5 linked regions of the Mus musculus genome follow. The protein of the gene in region 1 binds, or shares a complex with, the protein of each later gene. Links are inferred from orthologs where the notes say so. Each region holds a gene or a part of one and is shown in the gene's direction. Other genes may lie near its edges.

The links.
Region 2: the proteins of Gabarap (region 1) and Wdfy3 are in contact, whole or in part, in a crystal structure (PDB 3WIM), measured with the Homo sapiens proteins. The link is inferred for Mus musculus from reciprocal best matches to the Homo sapiens genes GABARAP and WDFY3. Residues at the interface, in NP_009209.1 of Homo sapiens: Glu17, Ile21, Lys24, Tyr25, Arg28, Pro30, Lys46, Lys48, Tyr49, Leu50, Val51, Pro52, Asp54, Leu55, Leu63, Lys66, Arg67, Phe104; in NP_055806.2 of Homo sapiens: Glu3342, Lys3343, Asp3344, Gly3345, Phe3346, Ile3347, Phe3348, Val3349, Asn3350, Tyr3351, Ser3352.
Region 3: the proteins of Gabarap (region 1) and Calr are in contact, whole or in part, in a crystal structure (PDB 3DOW), measured with the Homo sapiens proteins. The link is inferred for Mus musculus from reciprocal best matches to the Homo sapiens genes GABARAP and CALR. Residues at the interface, in NP_009209.1 of Homo sapiens: Glu17, Ile21, Tyr25, Arg28, Pro30, Val31, Ile32, Lys48, Tyr49, Leu50, Val51, Pro52, Leu55, Phe60, Leu63, Ile64, Arg67, Phe104; in NP_004334.1 of Homo sapiens: Asp199, Trp200, Asp201, Phe202, Leu203, Pro204, Pro205.
Region 4: the proteins of Gabarap (region 1) and Stx17 are in contact, whole or in part, in a crystal structure (PDB 7BV4), measured with the Homo sapiens proteins. The link is inferred for Mus musculus from reciprocal best matches to the Homo sapiens genes GABARAP and STX17. Residues at the interface, in NP_009209.1 of Homo sapiens: Tyr5, His9, Lys13, Glu17, Lys20, Ile21, Arg28, Pro30, Lys46, Lys47, Lys48, Tyr49, Leu50, Pro52, Leu55, Gln59, Phe60, Phe62, Leu63, Lys66, Arg67, Phe104; in NP_060389.2 of Homo sapiens: Ala169, Glu170, Ser171, Trp172, Glu173, Thr174, Leu175, Glu176, Asp178, Leu179, Glu181, Leu182.
Region 5: the proteins of Gabarap (region 1) and Trp53inp2 are in contact, whole or in part, in a crystal structure (PDB 8T31), measured with the Homo sapiens proteins. The link is inferred for Mus musculus from reciprocal best matches to the Homo sapiens genes GABARAP and TP53INP2. Residues at the interface, in NP_009209.1 of Homo sapiens: Tyr5, Glu17, Ile21, Tyr25, Arg28, Pro30, Val31, Ile32, Lys46, Lys48, Tyr49, Leu50, Val51, Pro52, Asp54, Leu55, Gln59, Leu63, Arg67, Phe104; in NP_001316358.1 of Homo sapiens: Glu31, Val32, Asp33, Gly34, Trp35, Leu36, Ile37, Ile38, Asp39, Leu40, Pro41.

The regions. Positions count from the first base shown.
Region 1 is NC_000077.6:69,989,956-69,994,171, forward strand, and holds the start of Gabarap (gamma-aminobutyric acid receptor-associated protein), read left to right. Parts: upstream 1-1,414; 5' UTR 1,415-1,757; coding exon 1,758-1,847; intron 1,848-2,409; coding exon 2,410-2,488; intron 2,489-2,626; coding exon 2,627-2,745; intron 2,746-4,216. Other genes in the region: Ctdnep1 (CTD nuclear envelope phosphatase 1), read left to right, coding at 22-82. UniProt on the Homo sapiens protein: Ubiquitin-like modifier that plays a role in intracellular transport of GABA(A) receptors and its interaction with the cytoskeleton.
Region 2 is NC_000071.6:102,067,122-102,071,245, reverse strand, and holds the start of Wdfy3 (WD repeat and FYVE domain-containing protein 3), read left to right. Parts: upstream 1-1,324; 5' UTR 1,325-1,650; intron 1,651-2,884; exon of another isoform or gene 2,885-4,124. UniProt on the Homo sapiens protein: Required for selective macroautophagy (aggrephagy). Acts as an adapter protein by linking specific proteins destined for degradation to the core autophagic machinery members, such as the ATG5-ATG12-ATG16L E3-like ligase, SQSTM1 and LC3.
Region 3 is NC_000074.6:84,844,124-84,848,390, reverse strand, and holds the start of Calr (calreticulin precursor), read left to right. Parts: upstream 1-1,459; 5' UTR 1,460-1,592; coding exon 1,593-1,683; intron 1,684-2,039; coding exon 2,040-2,141; intron 2,142-2,325; coding exon 2,326-2,529; intron 2,530-3,425; coding exon 3,426-3,520; intron 3,521-3,607; coding exon 3,608-3,817; intron 3,818-3,899; coding exon 3,900-4,013; intron 4,014-4,182; coding exon 4,183-4,267. UniProt on the Homo sapiens protein: Calcium-binding chaperone that promotes folding, oligomeric assembly and quality control in the endoplasmic reticulum (ER) via the calreticulin/calnexin cycle.
Region 4 is NC_000070.6:48,131,415-48,134,922, forward strand, and holds part of Stx17 (syntaxin-17), read left to right. Parts: intron 1-348; exon of another isoform or gene 349-350; 5' UTR 351-412; coding exon 413-535; intron 536-923; exon of another isoform or gene 924-1,124; intron 1,125-3,508. UniProt on the Homo sapiens protein: SNAREs, soluble N-ethylmaleimide-sensitive factor-attachment protein receptors, are essential proteins for fusion of cellular membranes.
Region 5 is NC_000068.7:155,380,718-155,384,662, forward strand, and holds the start of Trp53inp2 (tumor protein p53-inducible nuclear protein 2), read left to right. Parts: upstream 1-1,138; 5' UTR 1,139-1,300; intron 1,301-1,478; exon of another isoform or gene 1,479-2,212; intron 2,213-3,945. UniProt on the Homo sapiens protein: Dual regulator of transcription and autophagy. Positively regulates autophagy and is required for autophagosome formation and processing.

The DNA.
Region 1 (4,216 bases):
CACCAGTTACTGTCATTTCAGGTTCACTGCTGATGTCCGATCGGTGCTGAGCCGAAACCTTCACCAACATAGGCTCTGGTGACAGCTGCTCCCCCTCCACCTGAGTTGGGGTGGAGGGGAAAGGGAGGGAGAGTTCTTGGGACACCGTCTGTTGCCCTGTCCAATGTGAGGACTGCCTGGGCAGAGTCTGCCCCTCCCACCCCTCTGCCCTGGGAGCCCTACACTCCACTTATGGAGTCTGGATGGACACATGGGCCAGACCGTGAAGCAGCCTCACTCTGGGTTCACACTCCGTGGAAATGCCAGACTGGGACAGGCGAAGGCCTAGAGGAGCCGAAACAGTCTGGTGAAGAGGCAGGACTGGCCAGAGTGACAGACATATCCCAGAGGCTCAAAAGAAGCCAATTCAACTTTGTTGTGATTTGATTTTTTTAAAAACTCTTATACAAAACTGATCTAATTCTTCACTCCTGCTCCAAGGGCTGGGCTGTGGGTGGGGACTGGGGTTTCGGGCCACTGGATCCTCCTCAGACTTGTCCCCCCCTTACTTTTCCTCATTTTTTTTCTTTCCCCAATCCCCCATACCTGTAATCGGCTCCTTTCTTCTTTCCTCTTTTAAACCATGCATTATAACTTTGAAACCAAAGCTGCCCTAGACCCTTCTCTGATGTTTTTGGAAATGGAGGGAACTTTGTTGACATCTGCTCTGTCCTTGAAGCAGAGGGAGAAGATGCTGTTTGGAGTTGGGGGGAAGTGGGATTTAGCACAGGGATAAAGTAGTTTATGTTCAGTGTTCGGCAGGAAAGGCCCCACTGACTGGATGGAGTCCCTGATGGACAGTGGACCAACAACTTTAAAGTAGGATATAGAAGGCTAAAGAGGGAAAACTCTAGAACCCTGGAAGGGCATACAGCTGGAGAAAGGCTGGGCTTGTCTGGGAAGTTGACGTGGACAGGCTAAGAGGGCGCTGCCTACGAGGTGTTGGCACTCCAGCAGTAACCTGGGGCGGAACCCTCTTTCCTGGCACCTCCTCTCCAGAGCCGGGACTACTTTTCGCCACCCGCCACGTGATTCTCCGCCCTTTTCTGAGGTCACATGATTTTATCTACACTCAGAAATGTGTTCCTCCGCTCTGGTGTAGTCCTTATCTTTGGGGCTTTTGCAGTTTCTCTTGGTTCACATAAGCCTGAGCCTTGAGCATTCCCTGGGTGTCTGCAAACCTCTTTCCTTTCTGTCTTATGGTGTCCATATCCACAGCTTGGGTACTACTTTGTTTTGGTGTCAACGGCCACCTTCAGCGTAGAAACACGTCTCATGAAATCCTAGACTTGTAATTGTCTGCCTTTCCCCAACGTAATTTCCGAGAACTGCAGAACTAAATCTCATGACTGCCACTGGGTACCAGTTTCGTCCTCAACTTTGTACTGTGGGAAAGGGTTTTTCAGTTCACTCGAAACAACAGCAACCTTATCTGCGATGTCATATGTGTAACCCACAAGTTGATTCCAAAGCAGTTACGCTGAAGGCGTAAGAGGACCAGGCTACGGGTTGCGCTAGCAAGCTGAGCTAGTGGCGTATGTTAGCAGGCGGGGCCGGTCCGATGGTCGGGGGCGGGGTTGATGAATAGGGAAGTGGCGCAAATTCGTGGATCGCTCCGCCAAGTCTGTTCGTCGAAGCCGCCTCCGCCGCCGCCCCCTGTCCCGGCCCCCCCCCTGGGTTCCCTCAGCCCAGCTCGGTCCAGCCCGGTTCTCGGGAGAATGAAGTTCGTGTACAAAGAGGAGCATCCGTTCGAGAAGCGCCGCTCTGAGGGCGAGAAAATCCGAAAGAAATACCCAGACCGGGTCCCGGTAAGGACAGTAGCCAGGGCCCAGGCTAGCGTCGCTGACGCTGTCGCCACAGGCTATGCTTGAGTCTGGGAAAGCTGAAGTCAGGCTCTGTCTGTCGTGGGGTTAGAACTCTGTTGTCTCTGGTACCAGAGGTCTCTCACCTGAAGTAGAGCTGGGGACTAAGATGTGGACGGGAGAGAGAGATCAGGGTATTTCTCAGAATAGAGGCCTTAGTGAGCTTGACAACCCAGAGTTTCCATGGCCATCCTCCCAACTAGCTAGATTTAATGTAGATTTTTGACCCAAACAAGTCATCCTGTATTCTCTGGTGAAAATAGTTATTGTGATGCGCCGTTCTAGGATCAGTTCTCAATATTTAGGTAAGAGTGAGGCCAGGAGCTTTGGACCTAATGCTGTGTGCACCACGTATATAAGGATAACTAGAGAAATGAGATTCCAGTAGGTTTCAGTAAAAGGGAATATTGTATGTTGAGTTCTTCATCGATATAGCAGCATATATATGTGTATGTATGTATATATATATATATATATATTCATTTTTCTCATTCTTACCTTTTATCAGGTGATAGTGGAAAAAGCCCCCAAAGCTCGGATAGGAGACCTGGACAAAAAGAAATACCTGGTGCCTTCTGATCTTACAGGTGAGGGCTTGACCTGTGGTGCACGTTTCTTTCTGTGGGTGGGCCTGCCAACTCTGTGGGAGGAGGCTTCACCTGGCAGCTGTTCTCTGGAGGCGCCTACGACCTCTGTGACTTGCTTGCATCTCCTGTTTTTGGCAGTTGGTCAATTCTACTTCTTGATCCGGAAGCGAATTCATCTCCGTGCTGAAGATGCCTTGTTTTTCTTTGTCAACAATGTCATTCCACCCACCAGTGCCACGATGGGTCAGCTGTACCAGGTACAGTACCTTGGAAGGAACGGTAGTGTTTGGAGAGGAAAGTAAAGGCCAGCGGTCGCTGCTGGCTAACTTTAAAATGTCAGTACAGCCCTGCCGTGGGATCTTACTAGCGCTGAGAATAGGGAGGAGTATGAACTGGTGGAGTTGTTCTGACTGGGACTTACTACCTAAGTGAGTCTCTCCAAGAGTCCCAGATGTCAAAGAATAGATTGCGTTTGAGGAGTGGTGGTTGTTGTTGTTACTTTCTGTTCGTTTTCTTTAGGAGACAGGGCTTCTCTGTATAATCCTGGCTGTCCTGGAATCCCCTCTGTAGACCAGGTTGGCCTCTAAACTCCCAGAGACCCACTTGTTTCTGCCTCCCTAGGGCTGGGCTTAACAAAAGGTGTGCGCCACCACTGCCCTAAACTTGACACACAGACCAGGCTGACCTCAGACTCAGAGAGCTTCCTGCTTATGCCTCTTGAGTGCTGGTGTTAGAGTTGTTATAAGTCCTCATCCTGAATGGTGACACATACCTTTGATCCTTTAAATCCAAAGCACAGCTGTTTCTGCACACAGTTTTAATCCGATCATCCAGGAGTCAGAGGCTGGTGGGTCTCTTTTGAGTTTGAGTCTATCCTGATTAGTCAGAGATACTTAGTAGTGAGACCCTGTCTCAAAAAAAAAAATAATAAATAAATAAATAAAAATAAAAATAAAACAATCAAAAATAAAAATCCCCAAATTAAAAACCCTCAAAACCACTGAACGTGGGGCATGATCATGCACAGCTTCAGTCCCAGCACTGTGGAAGCAGAGGAAGGTAGAGGCCGAGGCAGCAGTATCAAGTTGGAAGTTGTTGACTACATAGTATAGTGAGTTTGAGGTCAGCCTCTTTTTTTTTTGTTTGTTTTTTGTTTTTTTGAGACAGGGTTTCTTTGTATAGCCCTGGCTGTCCTAGAACTCACTTTGTAGACCAGGCTGGCCTTGAACTCAGAAATCCGTCTGCCTCTGCCTCCCGAGTGCTGGGATTAAAGGCGTGTGCCACCACACCGGGCAGTGAGGTCAGCCTTTTTCTTTCTTTCTTTCTTTCTTTCTTTCTTTCTTTCTTTCTTTCTTTCTTTCTTTCTTTCTTTTTTTTTTTTTTTTTTTCAGAGACAGGGTTTCTCTGTAAAGCCCTGGCTGTCCTGGAACTCACTTTGTAGACCAGGCTGGCCTCGAACTCAGAAATCCACCTGCCTCTGCCTCCCAAGTGCTGGGATTAAAGGCTTGCGCTTCCAAGCCCAGCTTGTTTTTGTTTTTGTTTTTGTTTGTTTTGTTTTGTTTTGTTTTGTTTTGTTTTTTGAGACATAGTCTTTCTGTGTAGCCCTGGCTGTTCTGGAGCTCACTCTGTAGACCAGGCTGGTTTCTAACTCACAGAGTTCTGCCTGCCTCTGCCTCCAGAGCATTGGGATTGAAGGTGTGCACCACTACCACCCAGTCCAAGTCAGCC
Region 2 (4,124 bases), on another chromosome or scaffold:
GCAAAGCATCGGATTTCTGTTCCCCCTTAGATGATCTGGTTATAAAAGTAGGTTTTTTTAAAAGGGGTTGTTCTGACCTACTCTTTCAGAATTGAGTAACATTTACATTTTTATTCTGTAGCCTGCCCCTGGTCTCTTCCCTTCCCTGACTGTCTCCCTGGCCTCCAACTCTGGACAATTCTTCTATCCTCCTGAGGGACCCCCCAACCTCATCCAACAGCAGCCCCACCCAGCACAGGCCTTACAGGCATGGCTCTCCACACCTGGGGAAAGGTGCTTTGTCCTGCCAGCGGGTGCCTGGGAACAGCAGGAACAGGGGCCCCCACACGGAACAGCTGCTGAATCTTGTAGCAAACAGTGGAGTAAATCGGTACAACTGGATCCAATTCCAAACACAAACTGGCTTAAAAAAAGGAAACAGCAAGTCCAAATTACTTCGGCTTTTTTTTTTTTTTTTTCTTTTTTAGAGGAAATCCTAAAACTGCTGTAGATTGCAGTGTTGGGAAAACAAGCTCGTGTTTCCAGTTTCTGTACCACTACTTCCCCACTCTGAGCTGTTCAACTCAAGGAGTTCAAGCATTCATGCTGACTCAGTTTTGTCCCCACCGTCAGAACAGAAGTATGACCCAAACGGTACGCTGGGCGGACTAGGAACAGAGACAAGCTGATGTCCGCTTGGCTGTTTCAAGTTTACCAATCCATACTCATTTAGTGCAAACATTGTGTTGGTCAGGTCTATGGAGGTACAAAGAATGACCTTTCCAGAAAGGGCAAACCTAAAATCTCAGCAGAAGGTCTCAAGGTCACTGACCCAGGACAACCCTGGAGACTGGAAACTCCTGGGTCCTGATCCGCACCGGAGGAGGTGGGGGTTCGAGGCCGCGTAGTGAAAGAGCTAGCGTGGGCAGTTCTTTTGTACTCCAGCTGGAGTAAAATGAACGCAGGCTCGCGTGTTTTCATCGCTGGTGACAGCATCCAGCAATGGGAGTAGGGCTCAGGGGCGCGCAGCGGTGCTTTCTCAGCAGGGTCCCCCGAGAAGCCGGAGGAGGGGGTGAGCGCTGCGCCAGAGGACCCGGGAGCCCGGAGGCGAGGGCAGGGGGCGCGGGGCGCGGGGCGCGGACTGGGCTGCGCGCCTGTCCAGGGTGCCGGCAAGCAGGAGCCGCGGCGAGGGAAGGAAGTAGGAAAGAGGAAGGAAAGGCGGGAGGGGCCGGCCGCGCGGCTGCAGTTTCTGCGGCCGGCCTGGTAGGAGGAGCGGGAGGAGCGGGAGGAGGATCCCGAGCCGTCCGTCAGCGGGCGCGGGAGGTGGGGAGAGCGGGAGGAGGAGGAGGATTAAAGATGGCCACCAGCAGCTGCGGGAGACGGCCACCAGCCCTCACTTTCCGGGATGTTCCCCGCGGCCCGGCCCGGCCTTGATGGAGAGGAGCAGCCCGTGCAGTGCCGAGGCTGAGGCGGCGGCGGGGACCCGGCGAGGGAGAAGACGCGGCGGAGCAGGGACCCAGGCGGGAGAAGGGAGCGGCGGCGGCGTCGCTGCCCTGGCTGCCTAGCACGGCTGCCGCCCCGGCCCCGCAGCTCGCGGACTGCAGCGGGCGCTCGGCCCCGGCCCGGCCTGGGGGGACTCCCGGGCCCCACGCCTGGGCCCGCGCGTCCGCGGTGAGTGCTGCCTGCCCGCTCGCCGGCTCGCCCGCGGCGCGCTTTGTTCCTGCGGGGCGGAGGCGCTGTCCGCGCGGGGACAGGCCGCGGCCCAGCCGCTCCCCCACCCGCGTCCTCCTCCGGGCCTGGAGAGGGCGCCGTCGGCGGCTGGTCCCAGGCGGCCGGCGGAGGGGCGTGCGGGGGCCTCGGGGATGGGGAGGCGGGGGCAAGGCGACCGCAGGTCCGGGAGGGCGGGGGCGTAACCCGGCGGCGCCCGGGGTAGGTGGGGGTCATGCCGGTCCCCTCGGGAGGACCCTCCCGGTGCCCATTCCCGGACCCCCCAGCCCCCACCCGCGCGCGCCCGGGCGCAGCGGAGCGCGGCCTCCATCCCTCGGGCGCCGTCTCCAGGGCCGCGGGCCTCTCCTGGCTCATCCCTCTACGCTCTGAGCTGCAAACCCTTCCCTGTGGAAGGGACCTGGGATGCTTCTGTCCTGCATCGGGGATGTGGTGGCATCACCGACATTCGCGGTTATGGCGGGGTTGAAAAGGCAGCGGTGACCTTTCCGACCAGAGCCCTCTGGACCATGGTCGCATCGGAGGTGCTGCGTTCCATTGATTTTTTGACTCTTGAATCGGAGAGACAGATGATGAGTTCTTCCTTTGTAGAAATAATAGGATAGAATCAGATCAAGCAGATGTTTACCGAATGCATGGATTTTCAGTACCTCACCAATGGCTAAGTGTTTTTTCTGTGGGAAAAATGGTGCTTATGCATACGAAAAACTATTTTTGTTCACTAATAGCTATGGGTTGGTCAGTACCAAGTGGTTATTATGGTGTCTGAAAACCCAACAAAAAAAGAAAAACAAAACCCTTGCGTCGAGACAGCAGATTCCAGGCTGGCCTCTATCAAGCAGGTTTAGATCAGTTTTCACTGTCAGGATGTAAAGCAAGTAAAAATAACAAAACAATGAAAAATGTACTTATTTACAGGAAAATGGGATGTGGTATTAGTGTAGAGTCTAGGAGAAAGACTATAGTCTGTTAGTGTATAGATCTAGTCAAAGTAAATCCCTCTTTAAATAAAACTGTCATCATGGGACCCTGCTGTGTAAGAATTAGCTTGATATGCATTTAATGTTTAAAAAAAATCTGTATTTCATTAGGTTTGAGAACTAAAACTTTGAGCAGTTCTGCCTCAAGCAACTAGAAATACAGGTTTTTAAATAGTTTCTCTTTTCCTTAGTTGAAATCTATTCATGTAAAAATATGCTTCTCACAAAAATTTCTCTACAAATGTGCTATGAGTTAAGGAACATGAGGCTTTGAAGTAACTTGGAAAGACATGAAAGAAAGTTAAACCGTAGTGTAATATTCCAGGATCAGATTCTGTACTCTGAGGATGCTGAACTCCACAAGTCTTCACTGTTTACCTCTGGTGTCCTAAATATCACCAAGGTGCTGCATTCAGTGGGGTCTTAGAATTTCTAGAAATTATCCTCAGAATGTAGCCTACATCGGGGCTCCCCCACCCCCATTTGATCTGGAACCACAAAAGATGGTAAACAACTGGGTATCGTAGTTTAAAAAGAGTAAATATCCTACCTGGGTATGGTGACTCATACCTGTTGGCCAGGTACTGGGAGGCTGAGAAGAGCGTGAACGTCTAAGTCTTGTAGATGCAGGCAAGTCTGAGGAAAAAAAATTAGTTTGTGTACTTTCCACCTGTCTCTGTCTAATGCTTGTGATGGAGAGTGTATCAGAGTACCACGGAAAGATGGAGAGGATCCCAGGATAGCATGCATGTAAAGTATTCATCCGTGTATTCTCATTCAGACACGGGGAAGATGCTGATCCCATTGTACAGATGGGGAATTAGGCAACTTTAGGGAAAGTCTAGGACCCAGATTGCCTAAGTTTAGAGCCAGTGATGATCAATGTTTTAGGATACCAATTAGATGTGAAGACCGGAATGGCATGGCATTTTGGAGTCATGGGCTTTCAGTGCAGAGGGCTCAGTGACGGGCTTGCTGGGGTGACCCAGGTATGCACACAGCTCTGCAGCCACACCCCAAAGCTCTTCTCGCTGCATCCCCCTCCCCAACCACCCACCCTCTAGTGTTATTGTTTTCTGTGATTCCAATGGCACAGACCCTTGCGTTTCCATCATGACTGTTGTGTAGAATCTGCTTGTCTGGCGTCTGCTCTGAGTCCCAGCCCCTTCTGCACAGCGGATACTTTTCTCGCCCACAGCACCATTCACAAATTAATGGCCGATTTGGTTTTTTTCAGGTTGGGTTTACTCAGGAATCATCTCCATGTAGTGACGCTTTATCTGAATGTGCAGTTGGGTGGTCTGTCTTACAGACAAGCAGAGGCCATTCATACTTCCCTAGGAAGGCCCTTCATGGCCCTTTGCTTAGTCCTCAGATCCTTGGCAACCATTAATGTCCTCTGTGGAACACCGTCCAGATGCCTCGTGGTGCAGAATGTTG
Region 3 (4,267 bases), on another chromosome or scaffold:
TTTCATTGTGTTAAAGCAGTGTATCATTTAACCCAGGCTGGCCTCAAACTCACTATGCAGCTGAGAACTGAACTTTTGACCCCTGCTTCACTCACCGTCTTGGGTACTAGGACAAAGCAGAAGGCATCAAGCATATGTGTCAGTGGCACAGGACTGGAGGGAGGGTCAGGTCAGTCACAGGTCTGTCAAGATCATGTTGAACTTGGGTGTCCTCCAGTGGGACCTTCACCAGCAATGCTGAGTTCTGTACACTGCCTGGGGGACAGGGTGGAGACCCAGCTTCTTGACCTCAAGTGTCATTGCTTGACTGAGTTCCTCTCACTGCAAAGGAAGCACGCCATTTTTGTAAGGATTCCTTCTGCGCAGTTCATAGTCTTGTTTCAGGGTTCCCAATTCCTCAGTTTGGAAACACCTCCCATCCCCCATCCCCTACAGGTACTGTTCTTCCTCCTCCAGGCAGCAGGCAGAGTCACATGATTTGAGTCAGAGGACTCCAGATCCAAGGGTCCTGCTTATCTCACTAGAACTATCACCATAGCCATCTGTGTCCTTTTTCCTCCTCAAACGGCACCCCTTGCCTTCTGCCGTTTATTGCAAAAGCCAAGTCGTTTGTGGGAGACCACAAGAAGTGACTCCTTTCATTCTCCAGCTTAAGAGAAAGAGAAAAAAAAAAAAAACAAAAATCAAAAAACCCCTACTTCTCACCCAAGAAAACACGCTTACACTCACACCCCTGAGACTTCTGTGTTTCCTGCTCTTGAACCGTGGACAGCCCTAAAAGGTTTAAAAGCATTTCTGTCAAGATAGCTCAGGGTCACCCCTGTTGGCTTCTGACATTTCAGGGAGGCGAAATGACTTGTATCATGTCACACAGGCTGCAGGGAACTACGGGACGAGAGGAGAAAGCTGGTACGTTCTCTATGGCCTGAACAACTGTGGAACCAGAATGCAGCGAAACCTCAGGATCCTGGCTGGCCCTTGACCTTATCCTGAATAGGAAACGCTCGCCATCGGTGGGCGTTCCCTAGGTGCAGGACAGACGGAACGTGAAAGTTGCAAATAATCCTTACTTCTTCCCTCTGACCAGAGAGGATGGGAAAGGGCCGAAGCTAAGGACCCGTCTCGGTCCCGCACCGCACGGTTAACACCTGGTACCGCTCGCGCGGATTCTTTAAACGACTCCTAGCGAGCCAGAGACTCTCAGCAGCAAGGGCGGGGTTGGGCTGAGGTTCAGTCACGTGACCGTGCCTGAGTGGGCTAGCGGCCCCCACCCCACCAGGGGGCGTCCCCCACAACGCGTGGTCGACCCTCATTGGCCCATAGTGCGACCAATAGAAATCAGCCATCTGGGATCCCAGCGTTCCGAGCCACAGCCTAACTTGCTGAGCCAACTGGGAAGCAATGGAAAGGGACAGCTGTAGGTCTAAACCAGTCAAAAGGACCGAGGGGCGGGCTCAGCGGCTGTGTCAGGTTCGGGTGAGAGGTAGGTGAATATAAATTGAAGCGGCGGTGGCCGCGTCCGTCAATACCGCAGAGCCGCTGCCTGAAGATCGTCTTAAAAGGCCTGTGTGCCGCCGCCCCCTCGGCCCGCCATGCTCCTTTCGGTGCCGCTCCTGCTTGGCCTCCTCGGCCTGGCCGCCGCAGACCCTGCCATCTATTTCAAAGAGCAGTTCTTGGACGGAGGTAAGGTCTGGGCCCGTCTCGAGGCCGCTTAGCGACTGCTGGGCCCCGAGACCTCGGCTGCCTCGTCGTGTGTAATGTAATTACCGTTCAGAGGGCCAACACTGTGGCCCCAGAGGGACTAGGGCCGCGGGCGGTTCCATGTGTGCGTCCTTGTGGGACTAGGAAGGCTCAGCCGTTTCCCGCCCCCAGAGTTAGGATTCGTCCAAGGACCTGAAGCCCATCGAGATGTCAAGTTTGAGGTTGGGATGGGAATCCCCTTCCCCACCCCCACCTGCTTGTAGCTCCTGACAGACGTTGGTTATGGGGGCGGGGGTCGGACGGCCCCGCTAATCTGACTCTATGCCCTTCCCTTTCAGATGCCTGGACCAACCGCTGGGTCGAATCCAAACATAAGTCCGATTTTGGCAAATTTGTCCTCAGTTCTGGCAAATTTTACGGGGACCTGGAGAAGGATAAAGGTACAAGGGAGTGGGTGCAGGACAACTTCCTGGAGGAAGCTGTAGTCAGCACATACATCTTGTTGGGGCTTTTCCCAGGAACACGGGAGCCAAGGACAGGTGGAGGAAGGAAGGGAGGTCAGCCGTGCCCCTCTAGGTCTAGGGTATTCCGGGTTCACCTGATGACAGTCCCATTTCATCACAGGGCTGCAGACAAGCCAAGATGCCCGATTTTACGCACTGTCCGCCAAATTCGAACCCTTCAGCAATAAGGGCCAGACACTGGTGGTACAGTTCACGGTGAAGCATGAGCAGAATATCGACTGTGGGGGCGGCTACGTGAAGCTGTTTCCGAGTGGTTTGGACCAGAAGGACATGCATGGAGACTCAGAATATAACATCATGTTTGGTGAGGGGCCCCCAGCCAGTGCTGACCTCTGCCGGTTGGACAGTGGGTGCAGACTGAAACCCTTTGTAACCAGAATGCTGATCTTCATACCATGGAAAGCACTTGAATGATGAAAATTTTTGTCCTGAAGGACAACTTTATTAGTTGGTGTACAATATTACTTGAAGACTTATATTGTTCATTTGTATGATATTTTCTACGTGTTAATAATTTTAGAAATGATGCTAATGACAGGGTCTAAAAATCAGTGAAAAATCTGAGCATGTGCATATTTCTTCTGTACTCAAGTATGAAAGGGTGTGCTAGTGTGAAGGTCAGAGGGCAACTTTGGAAATCTCTTTTGTCATCTGGGTTCTAGGATCAAATTTGGATTGTCAGGCTTAGTGGCAAGTACCTAATTTACCACTGAGCCATTTGCTGGCCCCAGAATGGTAATCGTTTCAGATTTGTAGTCTTTTATGCCTTTAATGGATGCATTGAAGTCAGATGTATAACTGTTCCTGAACAGTTAGGACTTTGTATAGAGAACCTGTCTCAAAAAAACAAACAAACCCCAACCAAAACAGGTTTTTATTTCTGGATAGCGATGGCTGTGTATATGTGTAATTCCAGCATTCAGACCACTGAAGTAGATCAGAACTTTAAAGGCAGCTTCAGTTAAATGTAACAGTCTCCTCTGTCAAAAATAAAATAAGAGCTGGAGATAGAATTCAGTGGTTTCAGAGAACACAAGCTCAGTTCCCAGCACTCACACAGTGTCCTGTGACTCCCGTGCCCACTTCAGACCTCTGCAGGCTCCTGTGTATGCATGGTATATAGTCACAAATAGATGAGGTTAGGTCTCCCTTTCTCAAAGGATAGAGCCTGCCATCAGCCTGCATATGCTTCCTACATAGGTCCGGACATCTGCGGTCCTGGCACCAAGAAGGTTCATGTCATCTTTAACTACAAGGGCAAGAATGTGCTGATCAACAAGGATATCCGGTGTAAGGTGTGCCTGGGGTAGTCATTTAAATGGCTGTCATGGGAGGTCCCGGCAGCCTGGTGGGAGGGACTGCTCACCTCCTTCCCTCTTCAGGATGATGAATTCACACACCTATACACACTGATTGTGCGGCCAGACAACACCTATGAGGTGAAAATTGACAACAGCCAGGTGGAGTCAGGCTCCTTGGAGGATGATTGGGACTTTCTGCCACCCAAGAAGATAAAGGACCCTGATGCTGCCAAGCCGGAAGACTGGGATGAACGAGCCAAGATCGATGACCCCACAGATTCCAAGCCTGAGGTTAGTGTTGGGAGGGTAGCTCCACCTCTGTCATAGAATGGAGGACATCTGGGTCCACTTTGACCTCCACGTGTACTCCTAGGACTGGGACAAGCCAGAGCACATCCCTGACCCTGATGCTAAGAAGCCTGAGGACTGGGATGAAGAGATGGATGGAGAGTGGGAACCACCAGTGATTCAAAATCCTGAATACAAGGTAGGCTTGGGTGTTTGGGTGTGGCTCCCTGGTGGGATGTTTCCTTGGGTGCTATGATTAATGTTGCACTGCAGAAACAAACCAAGATAGGCCTTGGGGTCCTAGTCGGGGTTGTTGGCTGTACTGTGGGATGTGTCTGCCTCTCTATTCATCTGGTTTTCTTCTACAGGGCGAGTGGAAACCACGTCAAATTGACAACCCAGATTACAAGGGTACCTGGATACACCCAGAAATTGACAACCCTGAATACTCCC
Region 4 (3,508 bases), on another chromosome or scaffold:
GAGAAACAAAGCTATACACGTTCAGTTTTGGGTTTATATGTATTTAGAGTAAAGTATAATTGCATATTTTTTGCCTTTTATGTTTTAAAATTTTATTTTATGTGTATGAGTGTCTGTCTATGAGTATGTCTATGCACTATATGTGCAGTGCCAGAAAGGGCCAGAAAATGGTGTCAGACGCCCTGGAACTGGAGTTACTGACGGTTGCAAGTCATCACGTGGGTGCTGGGAGCCAAACCTGGTTCCTCTGGAAGAGCAGCCAGTGCTCTTACCCTCTCCAGCCTTGTATGTGTTTACTTTTAAAAAGAACGGAATCTGTTGTAAAAGCGTTCTTCAATGTTCCCCTTTAGGTGTTTCTGTTTGAGAGAAGAGAGCTGCTGCAAGAGGAAGTAGCGGCTCATCAGGCTTCAGGATGTCTGAAGATGAGGAAAAGGTGAAGTTACGCAGGCTTGAGCCAGCGATACAGAAATTCACTAAGATCGTGATCCCAACAGACCTGGAGAGGCTAAGAAAACACCAGATAAACATCGAGAAGGTGAGTGTTTCATTTCTATCACAGAAGCAGGTACCTGTGTGGGTTCTTCCTTGCTGTCTACGTTTCAGCTACAAGGAGAGTCTGAGGCTTTTCTGAGACCCCTCCACCCTGCTTATAGCAGCATTACTTTTCAACTGGTCTTCAAGTTCACAATTGTAATTCTCAAATATTCCTTTTATTATGTTGAGGAAGGGAGATGGGAGTAGAGTTTATGCCTTTTTAATTTACATGTGGAGGTCTTAGATAGTAATTAAATCACACTGTTTGATGGTGCCCCATAGTGTGAAGGTGGGGTGCTGTGGCTAATGGACCTGCCTTAATCTCATTCACCCCATGGCTAGTGTTTTGAACTTGTGCCTATCAAGAACTTCTATCCTCTTCAGGTGCACATGTAAACGATGTAAACAATTGTGTGATGTGAGGGAATTTCCTTTCTTCACTGCTTCTCTTTGACAAAGGATCCAAATTGAGAAGTTCTGCCAAGGCAGATGAGCTGCTCAGAGGCCCTGCCCTGGCCAGGGTGTGATGTGGGCCTGTGATGTTTACCGAAGCCTCAGGTTTACTGAGAACTGAGCTTTGACTTGGAAAGGTGGGTTGTCATCTGCTTTCAGCACTGAGCTGTGTCTACCTCTACTTCTTTATTTTTATTTTTATTTTTATTTTTATTTTAGGGTTAGAATGGATGGTGTGGTTATTAAGCCTTTCAGTATCAGCTGTATTTACTAAAAATACCAAAGTTTTTCTTCTACTGATTTTTCTAGTATTTAAGTGCTTTTAAAAAACACAAAAATTAATTTCTAAGATGTCTACAATGAAACTTTCTCTAGGAGTCTTCTAGAATTCAGGATTAATATTTTTCCATCCCCATTTCTTCTCTTCTTTATATATGGAGCATAAGCGATGGCTCTATTGCATCAGGATACAGAAGGAAGTATCTGCTAAACTGCTTCTTGCACTGGAAGAAAGTGAAAGCTCAAAAAAACACGGCTAATGAAACCTTTTACCTTGAGTTGAGCAATCCAAAGTAAACACGTCAGCTTCAATATTTCTCCATTACAAAGGATAAGAATTAGGTAGATGAACTGAATCTGAAAGGGAGAAACAAGAGGTCTGTGAGCTCTTAAAGCCATTTCCCCCTTTATTGTCCTACTCTAAGTTTGACATTTAACATATGTTTCTCATTTTGCATGGAAATGCCTGTTGTCATTGCCCTTCAATCCTAGCTACAAGTGTATGTGATCCTATCAATGGGAAAGGGGGAACCCCACAGCAAATCGGAGGAATAGGGAATAGGGTTAGATGCATTGGTGATTGGATTAGCTGTACAAGGTGTAGTAAGAGAATTACCCTGGAGTTAGTGCCATCGATCCTGCTTTGCCTGAACATGTTTCTTTTAGCAGTTTTGCTTATTATGAAACCTTCAGACGTTATCAGATGATTATCCTGGACAGATAGATGGTAATGTCTAAAACCAAGAAAGTAGGCTCATACTGATTTATGCTTTTGTCTTTAAATATCCTTGAACATTCACTGTCTGCAGGGTTTCTAGTTTGCTTATGAAAACTCCTCTTTCTGTGCACAGGCTTGAATGGTGCATTTTGGTGGCTAGGCTGTGTTATGAAGCACACTTAAAACTGCAGCCCCTCACTCTGTTCAAAAGAGTTAAGAACTAAATTCAGGCTCCAGGTGTCTTACGTGCCTTACTTTAAAAGAGGCATATTCTTCTTGAGGAAAAGGTGTAGAAAGATAAAATATTTATTATTCTGGCCATCAGTCATCCAATATGAATTTAAAAGAAGAAAGCCAGACTGAAGGGAAATTGAAGGTAAGCCTTTTGTAGAGTGAGTCTGCAACAATGAAAACAAAGAGAGCAGTGTGCTGGGGACACCTGGGCCATGTGCATAGCCCTGCAGGGGGACCCTGGACACATGATGAGTGTTGCTAGCATGGGATGCTGACGTTTGAAGCCTTAATGTGTGAGAGGTGTAGTCCAGTAAGGAGGAACTGCAGGGTAGCCAACTTGGGACACAGTTGTCTTTGTTTCATATTGTTGGGATCTAAAGAGAAACATACTGTGTGGGATGTACACAGGGTTCTTGTGAATTAGTTTATGGGTAAGATGCAAGTGGCAGAAACCCCCTAAGTGGCTTATCAGATAAGGTGGAGTTTGTTTGCCTTGGATTTGCCTCCGTCTCATCTCTCATGGCGGTGGAAGTTGTCCATTACCTGCAGGCATGTCCCTCACACCAAGCTTCATCCTCCTAATGATCTTATTAGGGCTTTTTCATTTTGAAGGTAAATTCCTCAGTAAAGAAGGTGCAGGAAGTATGGCGCTGAATAATTTTACTTTCTGTCTTACATCTGTTAATGACACGCACCCCATCATTTGCCTCCTGTTTTACATCTGTTAATGACATGCACCCCATCATTTCCCTCCATCCAAGCTTTGTTCTTTGTTCAAATCTCCCAGCTCTGATTCTTCCTGTGGGGTATGCTCTGTAATGTCATCACTTCATATTAAACGCACTATCTTGACACAGCCTGTTTACAGATTTAATACCTGTGTTTTAACTGCAGTCTACCTATTGGAGTTATTTTATCAGAGGTGAGGCTATAGTAGGGATAAAGTGGGGGGCTAAGAGGGCTGAGTGTACTATGCATTATATGACCATCCATCTGACCTAAGTGAAGGAACGTGAACAGGAAGACAGCAGAGAGCACCAAGGGATTCCTGGCCCGGGCTGCTTGCAGTATCCCATCTCATCTTTGTCCTTATTAGGTTTGGAGTCCAGGATCCCCAGCTGGCCCTGCAGAGAGGGTTATCGTCCATGGTCATGGACAGTTGCTTGAGCATGTAGGGATGTAATGTGGCAACTACTTGCAACTCCCAACAATTGCTCTCTCCCTACTACACTCTGTAGGGAGTTGCCTGTACCTAGTAGCTCTGGATGCCCACCCTTCCTGGAGTACAGG
Region 5 (3,945 bases), on another chromosome or scaffold:
ACCCTGGAGTTCAGTCCCTCTGGTGTAGGGTGTGATCAGAGTCAAGGCTAGTACCTGTGAGTTAAACTCCTGGCTCTGCCAAGGACTATTCCTTAATTACCTCGGAAAGTTGCTTAGATTCTCCTGGTCTGTTTCTTTAACTGTAAAAGGAGGATGCTACCTACCTTTTGGGTTTATTGTAAAGATTAAAAGGCAGCACAGTGCTTGGCATATGGTAAGTGTTCAGTGTCAGCTGGCAGTCTGGAAGAAGCAACCGTAGGTGCCCCTTCTTCTTTCCCTCCCCTCCCTCGGAGTCTCCTGTAGCTCAAGCTGCCTTTCAAACTCTTGAACCCATTTCTATCTACCAAGTGGTGAGATGAAAGGCAGGTACATGTAATCTCAGTTTCTCCACATGTAAATCAGGACTAACAATCCCTGCCCTGTCTGTCACTCTTTCCCCCCTGACCTGTTCCGGTAGCAACGTGGACTAAATAAGGTATGTAAACGTTCTAAGCCGAGCTGTCTCCAGGTCAATGTTTATTCAGCTTAGAGCAATTTCTTTCCAAGTCCTACGCTGGCCAGATTTCCTGTCAGCCCCATCAATTCTCTAACACTCGCAGGTGCTCCTTTGTAACCGCGGAAGGGGCAAGGTCCGCTCAAGCCCACCGTAAAAAGGAGCGGGGAAAACAAAAAACATAGAGGAGGGAGAGCAGGCAAGTAGGGCAGTGTAGAGAAGTGGGGTAAAAGGACAAGGAGGGTAAAAGGGACTTACAGATGGAGCGCGGCGGGGGTGGGTGGGGTGGGTGTCCTGCACCTAAGATGCAGGAGAAGGGATGTGCGGAGCTCTGGGGCAAGTGAGGGAGCAGGGATGTGTGCGGAAAAAGCAGCGAGGTGGGATTCTTGAGGAAGAATTGGGGGGTCGCTTTCAGTGTGAGGTCTGTGGGTAACTGGGGGCAGGGAATTCGGGCCGTCACCTCCACTCAGACAGAGGCTCCGAGAGCAGCTCCCGGGCTACAGCCACCCGCTGGCAAACCGCGGAGGGGCGGGGAAAGAGCATTCGGCGCCTGTGATTGGCTGCCGTCCCGACGGCCGCTGACGCGAGCGGGCGGGCCCCTTTGTGACGTCACAATCAGCTGTTGAAGCGTTCGGATTTGTGCCCTGAGCCCGGGCGCAGCGGCCGCAGCAGCTCCGGGCGTCCGTTCGGGAGCCCCGCCGTCTCTCGGCCCGTCCCCGGTATGCGGCTCCAGTTGTGAGCACCGGCGACCCGGGGACGCCCGGCCGCACAACTACCTCAGCGCAGCGGTTGCTGCAGCGGCCCCAGGTGAGTCCCGACCTCCGGGCTGGGGGCTCCGGGCACCCCCAGGACACGCCCTGCGCCCCCCTCTCCCGTTCTTTGTCTGTCTCCGCCGGCGGCAGCCGGAGCTGCGTTCTTGGCTCCCTATTGGTTGCTCCAAGCCGGTAGGCCATGACGTTGCTTTATTTGCATATGACATTGAGACGTCACCAAGGCCAGCCCCGCCTTCCAGGCTTGCATGGGTGCTTGTCCTCTGGTGACCCGGTGGGCGCTATGTCGTGCCCAGCCGGCCGAGGGTTGAAGAGACGCTGAAAGACAAGCGGGATCCGAAGGGACTCGGCGGTTTCCTGGGCTAATCTAGGGACTGGGGTCAGGCCTCTCATTTGTTTTTTCCTTGTGACCTGAGAGAGGGTAGGACAGCAAAGCTCGATTTAAGTTGAGAGGGCGGTAAGTAGATGGAGCTTCAGACTCCAGGTCCTGGAGACACTACCAGATGGTAGCGGATCCCCTCTGTCTTCAGGCTCCGCCCCCTAACATAATAACATCCTTCTAATCCCTGACATGTGTGCAGAGCCTGAGTTGATGTCATTTTCAGCCTACAAATATTGAGGGTCTTAAGCCCCACTTCACGGAAGAGGAAACTGAGACTCAGAGAGACGTAGTTTACTGGAGATCTCAGCCAATTAGAATCACACTCACTAAGTGGTAGATTCCTTAGCTGAAGTATAAGCTACATGCTTACATACATCTACTGAGGACCCTATCTTGGGTTCAGCACCAACCACAATTTGATGGGATGCTTCAGTCTTCATGATCCTGGACATTTTCCCAGGAGGTCTCTGAAAATTGGGTCTCTTACAAGGCCCTGACCTCCTCTGCCTTCTTTCTACTTCAAAACCCAATAAATGGCCGTCTCCCAGCTGTTTTGACCACAGAAAGGTGAGTCACTAGTTGCCTGCCTCCAGGTGTCTCCAGGGCAGATGTTGTTGAGAGGGAGTTGGGAGTTCCCTCTGTGGGCCTCCCATCAGAGCTGTCAGCTGGGAGAACCAGACCCTTCCCTGGCATTAGTGATGCAGAGCTTATGCTGTTTCCTGAGGCTGCTTCCAGAGTGACAGAAGGATGTCTCTTACTTTCCAAGTAAGTAGATCTGGAGTCCTTCCCAGGTTGAGGGTCGCTCAAGAATGGCCTGGGCTAGGGTTGGCTTAGGCCTCCAGTGCTATTCTAGGCACAGCCTCTGTAGTATTAAGGGAATGGTTCTTCCTGGAGCAGAGCCAGGAATCTGAGAACCAGGAAGCCAGCAGGCTAGGAAAGAAAACCCAGGAGGCTCTCCTAGTGGTCAAAGGAGGGGGGCAGTCATAGCTGGCTGGTTGCTACCATCTCTCCTGGCTGTCACTCACTTCTGTATGATCTCCACCAGGGAGCTTCTCACTTGACATGTCAACAGTTGAAAAGGCTCATTGCAGGGACTGGTGCACAGTGTGAACCCTGGGAAATGCATGCAAAAGTTTGATGCCAGGGACCAGAGATCTACAGGGACCAGAGACCAGGGCCTGTGTCTGATTTCCCTGTTTCCTGTGTATTATATTTTTGGATATTACCTGTTGAGGTTTTTCTGATTGTATGTATTCTGCATTGCCACACCACCACTAAGCTATAGCTTTATTGGGTAGATTCATGTTCCCAATTTGATATCACCATCCCTAAAACAGGAGACTTGTTGTCTTGGTCCAGGGAAGGAGGCTTGGGTTTGAAGGCTTGGATCTTGGTCCAAAGCTTGTGTTTATCCTCAAGGGATCCCTGGATCTGACAGCTTCCTTCTTCCACTGTCTATCACTGACATGTGGTCTCACTGGACAGGATTCTTTCTCTTGGCTAGTGATGCTGAGTTTGAACAAGAGTCTAGGGGAAAGGGGAGTTAGAGTAGTGGGGCAGACCTGTAGGCACAGGTCCTCCTCATCTGAGGGTTGCCCAATCTCATGGTAAGATTGTAGAACTGAGCCGGGCGTGGTGGCACTCGCCTTTAATCCCAGCACTCGGGAGGCAGAGGCAGGCGGATTTCTGAATTCGAGGCCAGCCTGGTCTACAAAGTGAGTTCCAGGACAGCCAGGGCTACACAGAGAAACCCTGTCTCGAAAAACCCAAAAAAAAAAAAAAAAAAAAAAAGATTGTAGAACTGTAGTGATTACGGATGCTATTAGGTTCAAATACTACCTGTGTCTTTCACTAGCTGTGAGACTTTAGGTAGTTATCTTATTTCGCTGGGCCTTTTAAAAAAATTAATTAATTAAATGTATGTGAGTACACTGTTGTTGTCTTCAGCCACACCAGAAGAGAGCATCCGATCCCATCACAGCTGGTTGTGAGCCACCATGTGGTTGCTGGGAATTGAACTCAGGACCTCTGGAAGAACAGTCGGTGCTCTTGACTACTGAACCATCTCTCCAGCTCTCTGGGCTTTGTTTTATTTATCTCTCTATCAGAAAAAATTTTTTCTCTTCCTCCCACTCCTTTTCAGTCCCTTTGACAGGATCTTATGTAGCCAGGAACTATTTTTTTTTTTTTTTTTTTTTTTTTTAGGTAGGGCCCCATGTAGTTCAGACTGGCCTTTAACTCACTATGTAGCCTAAGCAGGACTTGGACTCTGATCCCCCTGCCTCTACCTTCTAAGTGCT